2 linked regions of the Caenorhabditis elegans genome follow. The protein of the gene in region 1 purifies or fractionates together with the protein of each later gene. This does not show direct contact. Each region holds a gene or a part of one and is shown in the gene's direction. Other genes may lie near its edges.

Evidence for each region.
Region 2: the proteins of rsr-1 (region 1) and snr-1 fractionate together in Caenorhabditis elegans (co-fractionation; one large-scale study listed by BioGRID). This does not show direct contact.

The regions. Positions count from the first base shown.
Region 1 is NC_003279.8:11,177,324-11,183,722, reverse strand, and holds rsr-1 (PWI domain-containing protein), read left to right. Parts: upstream 1-1,659; 5' UTR 1,660-1,660; coding exon 1,661-1,771; intron 1,772-1,924; coding exon 1,925-2,071; intron 2,072-3,154; coding exon 3,155-4,630; intron 4,631-5,586; coding exon 5,587-5,658; 3' UTR 5,659-5,875; downstream 5,876-6,399. Other genes in the region: sri-5 (Serpentine Receptor, class T), read right to left, coding at 739-906; F28D9.4 (Transmembrane protein 242), read left to right, coding at 6,001-6,121.
Region 2 is NC_003282.8:17,086,278-17,089,452, forward strand, and holds snr-1 (Small nuclear ribonucleoprotein Sm D3), read left to right. Parts: upstream 1-1,771; 5' UTR 1,772-1,781; coding exon 1,782-1,857; intron 1,858-1,907; coding exon 1,908-2,035; intron 2,036-2,086; coding exon 2,087-2,293; 3' UTR 2,294-2,573; downstream 2,574-3,175. Other genes in the region: snx-13 (Sorting nexin-13), read right to left, coding at 60-158, 210-451, 528-649, 698-899, 946-1,052; Y116A8C.43 (Lipoprotein), read left to right, coding at 2,574-2,744, 2,870-3,076, 3,128-3,175. UniProt on the Caenorhabditis elegans protein: Plays a role in pre-mRNA splicing as a core component of the spliceosomal U1, U2, U4 and U5 small nuclear ribonucleoproteins (snRNPs), the building blocks of the spliceosome.

The DNA.
Region 1 (6,399 bases):
TTTGGTCGAGGCTCAGAGACTACAAACTACAAAAGGCTATTAGCCTCAACCAACTTTTTGACTCAAACACACGGAGTTTATAATATTAGTTGAGGCTCAGAGATTGCCAAAACTGAAAAATTTCCGGCAAACCGGCAAATTGCCGGAATGGAAAATTTCCGGCAAATCAGCAAATTGCCGGAATTGAAATTTCCGGCGACTCGACAAATTGCCGGATTGAAAATTTCCGGCAAATCGGCAAACTGCCGGAATTGGAAAGTTCTGACAAATCGAAAAATTGCCGGAATTGAAATTTCCGGTAAATCGGTAAACCGGCAAAATGCCTAAAATTAAATTCCCGGCAAATCGGCAAATTGCCGGAACTTAAAATATCCGGCAAATCGGCAAATTGCCGGAATTGAAAATTTCCAGTAAACCGGCAAAGGGGTCATGTGTCGATTTACGCAGCTCGTGTACTCCCCGAGTACAAGTTTTTAGTTTCAGTTTTGGCGGTTTTTTGTCGGTTTTCGCTAATCAAACACAGTTTTTAAGTGAAAATTTTATATTTTTCAGCAGTTTTTAACCCAAAAACTGTATAAGTTAGTGACTTGACCGTTAAAAACAAAAAAAATTAGCCGCAAGTATCCAAAAATTTTAATGAAGAAAATAAAAAGAAGAATTTTCACCGGTCGCTTGTCCACCGGGAGTACACGAGCTTTTCTGTAGTTTGTAGTGCAGACTATAGACTACAAAAATCACCTGAAAATAAGCTAAACAATATCGAAATTTTGACTCTTTTGGTGTATAAAACCACACAAAATAAAAGCACAAGAAATTAATTGGCAATGAAAATAGTCCGATTAATTGCAGAGTCTTCATGTAATAATCCGGAGGCCCATACGGACAAATCCACGTGGCAGAGCCCATTTTTTTGGCTGGAAAAGCTGAAAAAATGAAGAAAAATCGCGAAAACCCGGCAGACCGAGACCAATAATAGAATAAGTTATGCGCTTGGGTGGTTACACATTCTCAGCTGGCATAATTTGCATAACAAATGTGATTTTCTAATCATTTTTGATCGTTTTTGCACACTTGCTCAGCGGAAAAGTGCTCTGGGGCTCAATTTTGGGAGAAAAATTGAATTTCATATTTGAATTTCCGCCGAAATCGAGAAATGCGCCAGCGTGCACGAGAAACGCGCAAGGCGGGCTGCTGGCGCGTTTTTTGCGACGACGCTGCGTTTTTATTGGTTTTTCAGGGATTTTTCGTGGTTTTTTGCGGATTTATTTGGTTTTTCTTGAAATTTTCTTGTGTTTTATTGAAAAAATAGCGATTTTCGCGTAAAATATCACTTTTTTAGTCTAAAAATCTACAAATCTAAAAAAATTTGGCTGAAAACAGGGGGAAAAAGATATTTTCGAAATTTTGCAAGTTTTTACTGTTTGCACACCGAATATCTGGGTTTTTCCAGTAAAAGGAAGCTTAAAATATTTCTTAAACTGGAGTATTTTCGAGTTTTTGAGAAATTTTGGCTTAAAATCAAGTTTTCTGCGAGAATTTAGGTGTTTGCTAGGAAAATTCGCGTTTAAACACTGAAAATGAGCGGAAATATCGATTTTTTCTAGTTTTCTGCTCTTCTACACGATTGCGCTATTAAAAGTTCAAATTTTTCAATTTCAGAATGGACGCCGGCTACTTTCGCGGAGCCAACTCAGAGCAGGATGGACGATTTTCGGATAAAGAGAAGAAATTGTTGAAAACGATGAAGTTTGAGCCGCAGTTAGAGCAAAAGGTAAAATAAATTCTGCCAGAGAGCCAAAATACGCTCAAAGCTCAAAAATCTAGCGAGAAATTGCGATTTTTCCAGTGAATTTCCAGTAAATTCCAAAAAATTATCATCTAATACTCGATAATTAAAGGTTATACAAATTGGCTTTTCTTCAAGATCGACCTGAATCGCTGCAATATGGACGTCATCAAGCCGTGGATTACGGCCCGTGTCAACGATATACTGGGGATGGAGGATGATGTCGTTGTCGAGTATATTCTATCACAGATTGATGATAAGAATTTGAATCCGAAGCTTTTACAGGTAAATTGTAGCGAAAAACCCTGTGAAAATCGGATTTTTGACCGAAAAATCGACTTTTAGAGGCCAAAAACTATGAAAATTGGCAAAAAAAAGGATGGAAATCACCTCATTTTAAAGAAAATTTGCTCGTTTGGCCGTAAAACCGTCAAATTTCGGTAAAATTTGCTTATTTTTGAGAAAATCCTTTGGGTGAGGCTCACACGACTTTGTAGTTTGTAGTCTCTGAGCCTCAACCAACATTTATTTTTCTCGAATTTTTGCAATAAATATGGCGTTTTTGAGCTATTTAGATAATTAATTTTCCGTAAAAATTAAATTTTTGACCGAAAAATCGACTTTCATAGGACAAAAACCACGAAAATTGGCAAAATTTCATGCAAATCGCCTCATTTTCAAAAACATTCGCTTGGTTGAGGCTCACTAGACTTTGTAGTTTGTAGTCTCTGAGCCTCAACCAAGATTTTTTTCGAATTTTTTGCAGCAAATTTGGTGTTTTTAAGCAGTTCTACACGCTGAATTTCCTAAAAGTATTGATTTTTGACCAAAAATCCACTTTTATAGGACAAAAACCACGAAAATTGGCAAAATTTCCATGGAAATCGCCTCATTTTCAAAAAAAAAAGCTTGGTTGAGGCTCACACGACTTTGTAGTTTGTAGTCTCTGAGCCTCAACCAAGATTTTTTTTTGAATTTTTTGCAGCAAATTGGCAGTTTTTGAGCTTTTTAGATAATTAATTTTCCGTAAAAATTAGATTTTTGACCGAAAAATCGACTTTCAGAGACCAAAAACTACGAAAATCGGCAAAATTTCATGCAAGTAACTTCATTTTTAAAATAAATTTGCTTGGTTGAGGCTCACTAGACTTTGTAGTTTGTAGTCTCTGAGCCTCAACCAAGCTTTTTTTAATTTCAGAAAAAATCACTGTAAAATGTCAGAATTACAGCAAATTTTCTATCAAAAAACCTGAAAATCATGAGAAAACGCTTTTAATTTCAAATTTTTACCTTCAAATTCGCAAAAAATCAGCTGTTTTTGTAGTTTGTAGCCACATAACCGCCTCAATAATCTCAATTTACTTTCAGATCAACGTCACAGGCTTCCTGAACGCCCGTCGCGCCCGGGAATTTGTCGGCGACCTCTGGAATCTGCTCATCGAGGCAAATGCATCAGAAGACGGAATTCCAGCATCGCTAGTCAATCAGAAGATGGCCGAGATGAAGACAAATGATCGTGATGAGAAGGGCGACGATCGGGAGGATAACGACTGGACAAATCGCTACAAGACCCTGAGTAACGGGCGGTACACTGGTCCGGCTCGGGAGAAAGCCGTCCGCGACGATCGTATTCCGGCAAGAGCGCTGAGCCCGAGAAAAACTCCGCCACGACGGAATGCGAGTCCTGGAGGAGATGGTGGTGGAGGATCACCGGCCGCCAGACGAGGTGGATCTGCCGGGAATCGGAGAAGATCACCGCCGAGAAGGGGCTCGCCGAGAAGAGGATCCCCGCGAAGAGACACCAGAAGAAGCCCACCACGACGACGTGGATCTCCGCCGGCACGGGGAGGAGATCGTCGGGATCGTCGGGAGGATCGCCGTCCAGTCCGTGACGAGAAAGAGCGGGAGGAAGAGTCGCGTCGGCGAGAAATTGAGCGTAAAAAGCGTCATGAAGAGGCAGAGCTCCGTCAGAAGGCTATAGCTTCAGTGGCGGCCAGAGCCAAGTCTGGAAGCCCGAGACGACGCAGGTCTCCATCTGCGTCGAAGAGCCCCCCGCCAGCGAGAAGACGCCGCTCACCATCTCAATCCAAGAGCCCAGCTCCAAAAAGAGCAAAATCCAGATCGAAAAGCCCACCGGCTCCAGCAAGAAGAAGAAGATCCCCGTCAGCTTCGAAAAGCCCACCGCCGGCTCCAAAAAGAGCAAAATCTAGATCCAAAAGTCCGCCGGCTCGGAGACGCCGATCTCCGTCAGCTTCAAAGAGCCCACCGGCTCCACGAAGACGCCGCTCCCCGTCCAAATCCAGAAGCCCGGCTCCAAAAAGAGAAATTCCTCCAGCTCGGAGACGCCGATCCCCGTCAGCTTCAAAGAGCCCACCGGCTCCAAAAAGAGCCAAATCTAGATCCAAAAGCCCTCCGGCTCCAAGACGTCGCAGATCTCCATCTCAATCCAAAAGCCCGGCTCCACGAAGACGCCGCTCCCCGTCGAAAAGCCCACAGGCTCCAAGACGCCGCCGCTCTCCATCCGGCTCAAAATCTAGAAGCCCACGACGTCGCCGCTCCCCAGCAGCAGCTCCCCGCCGTCGCCAGAGCCCACAGAGACGAAGATCCCCGCGAAGACGCCGCTCCCCATCATCATCATCCAGAAGCAGAAGCCCACCACCACCACCACGTAGACCACGTCAGGATTCGGAGCAGCAGGCTCCGGTGGCCGTAAAGAGCCCGGAAATGAAGAAACGGCGGCCGAATGATACGGATTCTGATGTTTCTGTTGATTCGGAGGCGGAAGAGGAGCGTCGTCGTAAGAAGGCAAAGAAGGAGAAGAAGGCCGCCAAGAAGCATAAGAAGGTGCTGAAAATATGGAAAATCGAAGAAATTTTGAGCTTAAAAATTGTGAACATTAAAAAAATCTGCAATTCCCTGCTTTTTTCCTGAAAAATTGGAAAAAAAATTCCACATTATCTCAGAAAAACCACCGAAAAGTTGAAAAATTTGAGATTTTTTATCTGAAAAGGAGGGAGAAAATCGAGAAAAATTTCCACATTTTCCTGAAAAACGCTGAAAAAATCGGGAATTTTCCGGATTTTCTCGGAAAAAAACAGAAAAATTCAAAAATGTCTGATTTTTTTTTCTGAAAAACGAGGAAAAAAATCGAAAAATCCCGGATTTTCCAGAAAAAAATTCAAAAATTCATTGAAATTCATGAAAAATCTGGAAAATCTTGAAATTTTGAGCTTAGAAATAGGGAAAAATCGTAAATTCGATGATTTTTTTATTGGTTCCAAAAATCGGCAATTTTCTGTTTTTTTTTCCAGAAAAATCACAATAAAAATTCAAAAATTTAGGATTTTTTCCTGAAAAACAGGGAGAAAATCCGAAAAATTTTCGTATTTTCTGGAAGAAAAACTGAAATTTTCAAAATTTTCACGGAAAACCACAGTAAAAAAATCAAAAAATATCTGATTTTTCTAAAAAAAAACAAGGAAAAACATAGAAAAAGTCCAGAACTTTCCAGAAAAATTCAAAAATAAAATTTTTGCGATCAAAATCGTTTTAATTTTCGTTTAAAACTTAAAAAAAACTATTTTTGCGCTAAAAATTCACGGAAAACTGTAAAAATTACCAATTTTGGTTGAGGCGGTGTTTTCGTCGATTTTTTCAAACTTTTCGGGCAAAATTGGTCTGAAAAATGTAGGAAATCACGTTTTAGAGCTATATTCCACCAAAAATTTACAAAAAAAAAATTGGTAGAGGCTCAGACTACAAACTACACAATTTCCCCCGAATAAACTCGAATTTTTCAGGAGAAAAAGAGCAAAAAACACCGAAAACGCCGTTCACCAAGCGCATCCGAATCGGGATCTGAAAGTGACTGAAACTAAAAAAAAATTTTAATTTTTTTTCATTTTCCTATTGATTACTTTTTTTTATTGTTAAAAAATGGTCTCTGTCCTCTCATTTATTTATTTTTTCTTTTTTTTCCACATTTTTTAAATCGTTTTTCTCTTTTTTCCTGCTGTTCCCCTCCGCTAAACAAGTCTAAAAATCTGTTTTATTCATCATTTTTTAATCTATTAAACTGTCTCGCCTCGATTTTTATTGTAATTTTCTTTTCAAAATTCAAAATTTTTAGCCTCAGCCTTCAAAATTGGCCTGAAATATCTCATTTTTGGAGCCCAGAAAAGGCTAGAAAGAGCCCAAAACTGTGTTGCAGGTGTATGAGCGACGTGACGTCATTGAGCAGCAGCCCAGCAGCAACACCGTCCTCTCTGTCGGGACACGCACTTGTCGCACTTGACAGAATTGATACGAGCAATACGGCTGGATATATTAAATCTGGTGTGTGTGTGGAAAAAGCTGGAAAATTGCCAAAAAAAACGGAGAAAATTGAGGATTTTTGATAAAAATTTCAATTTTCCCGCAAAATGTTGAACTGAATCAGAAGAAAATTACCGAAAAATCGCACAGAAAAGAGCAAAAACTGGAGTTTTTTGCATTTTTGCAAAAAAAAATTTGGTTGAGGCGCTCGATTTTTTGTAGTTTGTAGCCTGTGAGCCCCTCAACCAATCGATTTTCAGCGAGGATAGCACAACTTTCCTGCTAAAAAGAGATTTTTC
Region 2 (3,175 bases), on another chromosome or scaffold:
AAAAATTGATTTTATTTTTTCAATTTTTCTCAATTTCCTGAATATCTTCCGACACTGACCAACAACTTCTCGAAGCAAGAATCTCAGCGGCCGACATCTAAAATCTTCCGGTGGCATTATTAAATAGAGAATTATATCGACAAGATCATGAAGATAGGCTGAAAAATCGGAAAAAATTGAATTTTTTCATCGAAAATCTCAATTTTTACCATTTTCATAATGCGGTGTAGTTGAAAGAAGATCTCTACACAACGATTTTTCCATTTCCAGCTCAAAATCAAAGAAATTGCTGAGCAATTCCGCTTCCAAATCTTCAGGGGATAATGTTTTATCTTTTTCCTTCGCTTGAAATGCAGTTCTTTCCTTAGCTTTCCGGAAAAGCCGTAAATGAGAAGCAAAATCGTCGACAACGTCACGCGTGAGCAATGGAACCCAATCAACCTGGCGGAGACTGGAAATTTGAGATTTTATTGATTTTTTTCCATTTTTTGTTTTATAAAATAAAATTTTATTAATGAGCTACACACCATTGTGTCAATGAGGCAATTGATCTTCGGGAGGTTCTCTTTAAGCTTTGTTCAAAAATATTATCATTTGAAAGTGTTTTATACCAAAAGCCGACGTAATCCCGTGTTATATTGCCGAGAATCTAAAAAAAAATATTTTTAATAACATTTCAGTCCACATAAATCCCTACTTGTTCTAAAACCAAATCTAATTGCGGTGAATTGCACATTGAATGCACCTCCACATATTGATTTTGCTCTTTGAGTCGTTTTCCATTTTTCAGCAGAGCCTCAATTCCCGCAGATAATTTTCCTTTTTGCAGATTTTCGGATAAAATTCCAGCGATTTCGTCATGTTTTTCGTGTCCCGTTTGATAGAAAATGTAGAGAAATCTGAAGGTATTCCAGTTTAAGGTTTTTCTAAAGAATTAAAGCTTACCCCGCTACGAAACAGAGGATACTGGCTGGAAGAACGATTAGACCGGTTGAACCGAATGTTGCTAGGAAAAGGACTACAGCAAGGAGAATATAAAGCCGATTTGACATTTTTCTAGAGAATTTTCCGATTTTTCTTCATATTTTACATAAAATTATGGAAATTCATCTGTAAAATCTGGTAAATAATTAAAAAATTCTATGCGCATTCCGTAAAACTAGTATCTCGGGGACAAGGGAACGTGAGATTTGAAATAGTTTCTGGCAGCTTTACAAATGAAAATTGCTGTATTTTTTTAGTATTTATAATTGATTAAGAATAATATAATAGTTTTCATTTAATTAAATATTTAAATTTGCATTTTACATAAATGCTAGTCTCCAATTTCGGCGTTCTTGCGTCTCCGGGAAGTTAACTTCATGAGGCCCTTCCCGCAAACGCGCCCCACTGCACACGCTGCGTGCTGCGTCGCGTGCCTTATTTTCGAATTTTATTCCCTTCATTTTTCATTTTGAGCTCTTCATTTTTCGTAATTTTTAGAAAGAAAAACCGTTTTATTTCTAGATTTTCTTCAAAATAAAGTTCTAAAACACATTTTTCTCATCTGGAAATCCATTTGTTGCCACATTTTTCTTGCAACGCGTGCAAATTCTAGAATTTTCCGAAAAAACTTCATTTTCGGGGTTTTATTCCTTTTTTGTCTATTATGCTCAGCATATTTCAAATGAGAACAAACTTTACCGTGAAAAGTGTGAAAATCTGAAATTTTAGGCGATTCTACTTCTTTTTTCTAACGTTTTCTCCCTTCAAGCCGAATCTACAGAATCAAAATTTTCAGAATGACTTCAGTTGGTGTCCCAATCAAGATTCTTCATGAGGCCGAAGGTCACATGGTCACGCTCGAAACCGTTACAGGTAATCATTTTCGAATTTCCCGTCGCTCAATAAATACTTTTCTATTCCAGGCGAAGTTTACCGAGGAAAACTTTCTGAAGCCGAAGACAACATGAACTGTCAGCTGGCTGAAACCGTTGTGACTTTCCGCGACGGAAGAAGTCATCAATTGGACAACGTTTTCATTCGCGGAAACAAGGTTTTTCACCATTTTTCTCTAAATTTCAGCTGTAAACCAATCAATTTCCAGATCCGATTCATGATTCTGCCGGATATGCTCAAAAACGCGCCAATGTTCAAAAATATCGGAAGAGCCCAGAAAGGAGCCATTGGAATGGGTTTGGGAGGTCTCGATCAGCGTGGAAGAGGACGTGGAACCGCTTTCCGTCGACCAATGGGCCGTGGAGGACCACGTGGAATGTCTCGCCCGGGAGGAGCTCCAACGTTCCGTGGATAAGCACAACACGGCGCAAATATAATCAATTCTCTGTATTTTTTCTCTCTCTCGAGTCCCCCATTCTTCCAGTTTCTCTTCTTTTCAAAGCGTGCGCAGACCGTTGAATTTGACGTGATCTCCTGCTTGTCCCGGCTCCGCACTTTGTTATTTGTTGAATCATACTTCATTTTTCATAAATTATTTTCCAGAAAAAAGACGACGACAAACTGGTTTCGGAGATTTCCCTGTAAGATTACCACAATTCCAAAGTGTGGTATTCGCCTAGAATATAACTGGCGAAATGGTAAATCATTCGCCAGTCGTCTTCTTTTTGTTCTCCTTATTCTTTTATTCGCATTTAAATGGAGCATTCGATGATGCAGAGCATTTTCCAAAAGGGATAGAGGATAGAGCCAAACTTTTGGCACGGGCAGACCAGTGTGTGCTAAAATATTTAGAGTTTACCGGCAAAGTGAGTAATTTTTCGCAAAAAATTGAGCGAAAAACTTGAAAATCCACGTTTTTTTTCGAGCCGCTCCGCTTGCTATTGCGTCGCGGTCGCGAATATTCTGTTATTTTTTTTATTTCTCTGTTCAGAAGCTTTCACATCTGCCGTACACTGTAAAACGATGTGCTCTCTCGGAATATTTCACTTGGGAAGAGTCTGGAACATTTTTTCCGTTTCAAAAATGCAATAATTTCGTGTTTTTCGGGGGAAATTCCCTCCAAATATTGAATAATACCGATTTTAAGATGCTCAATTGCAAATATTTGATTATCGATTCGAGGGAGAACCTCCGTGGAGTTTGTAGTTTATAGTCGAAGAAATGAACTTTTAAATTCTGAAATTTTCAGCTTGAAAATTATAAAAAAGTAGATGATCTTTCAAAATCACAACTAAAC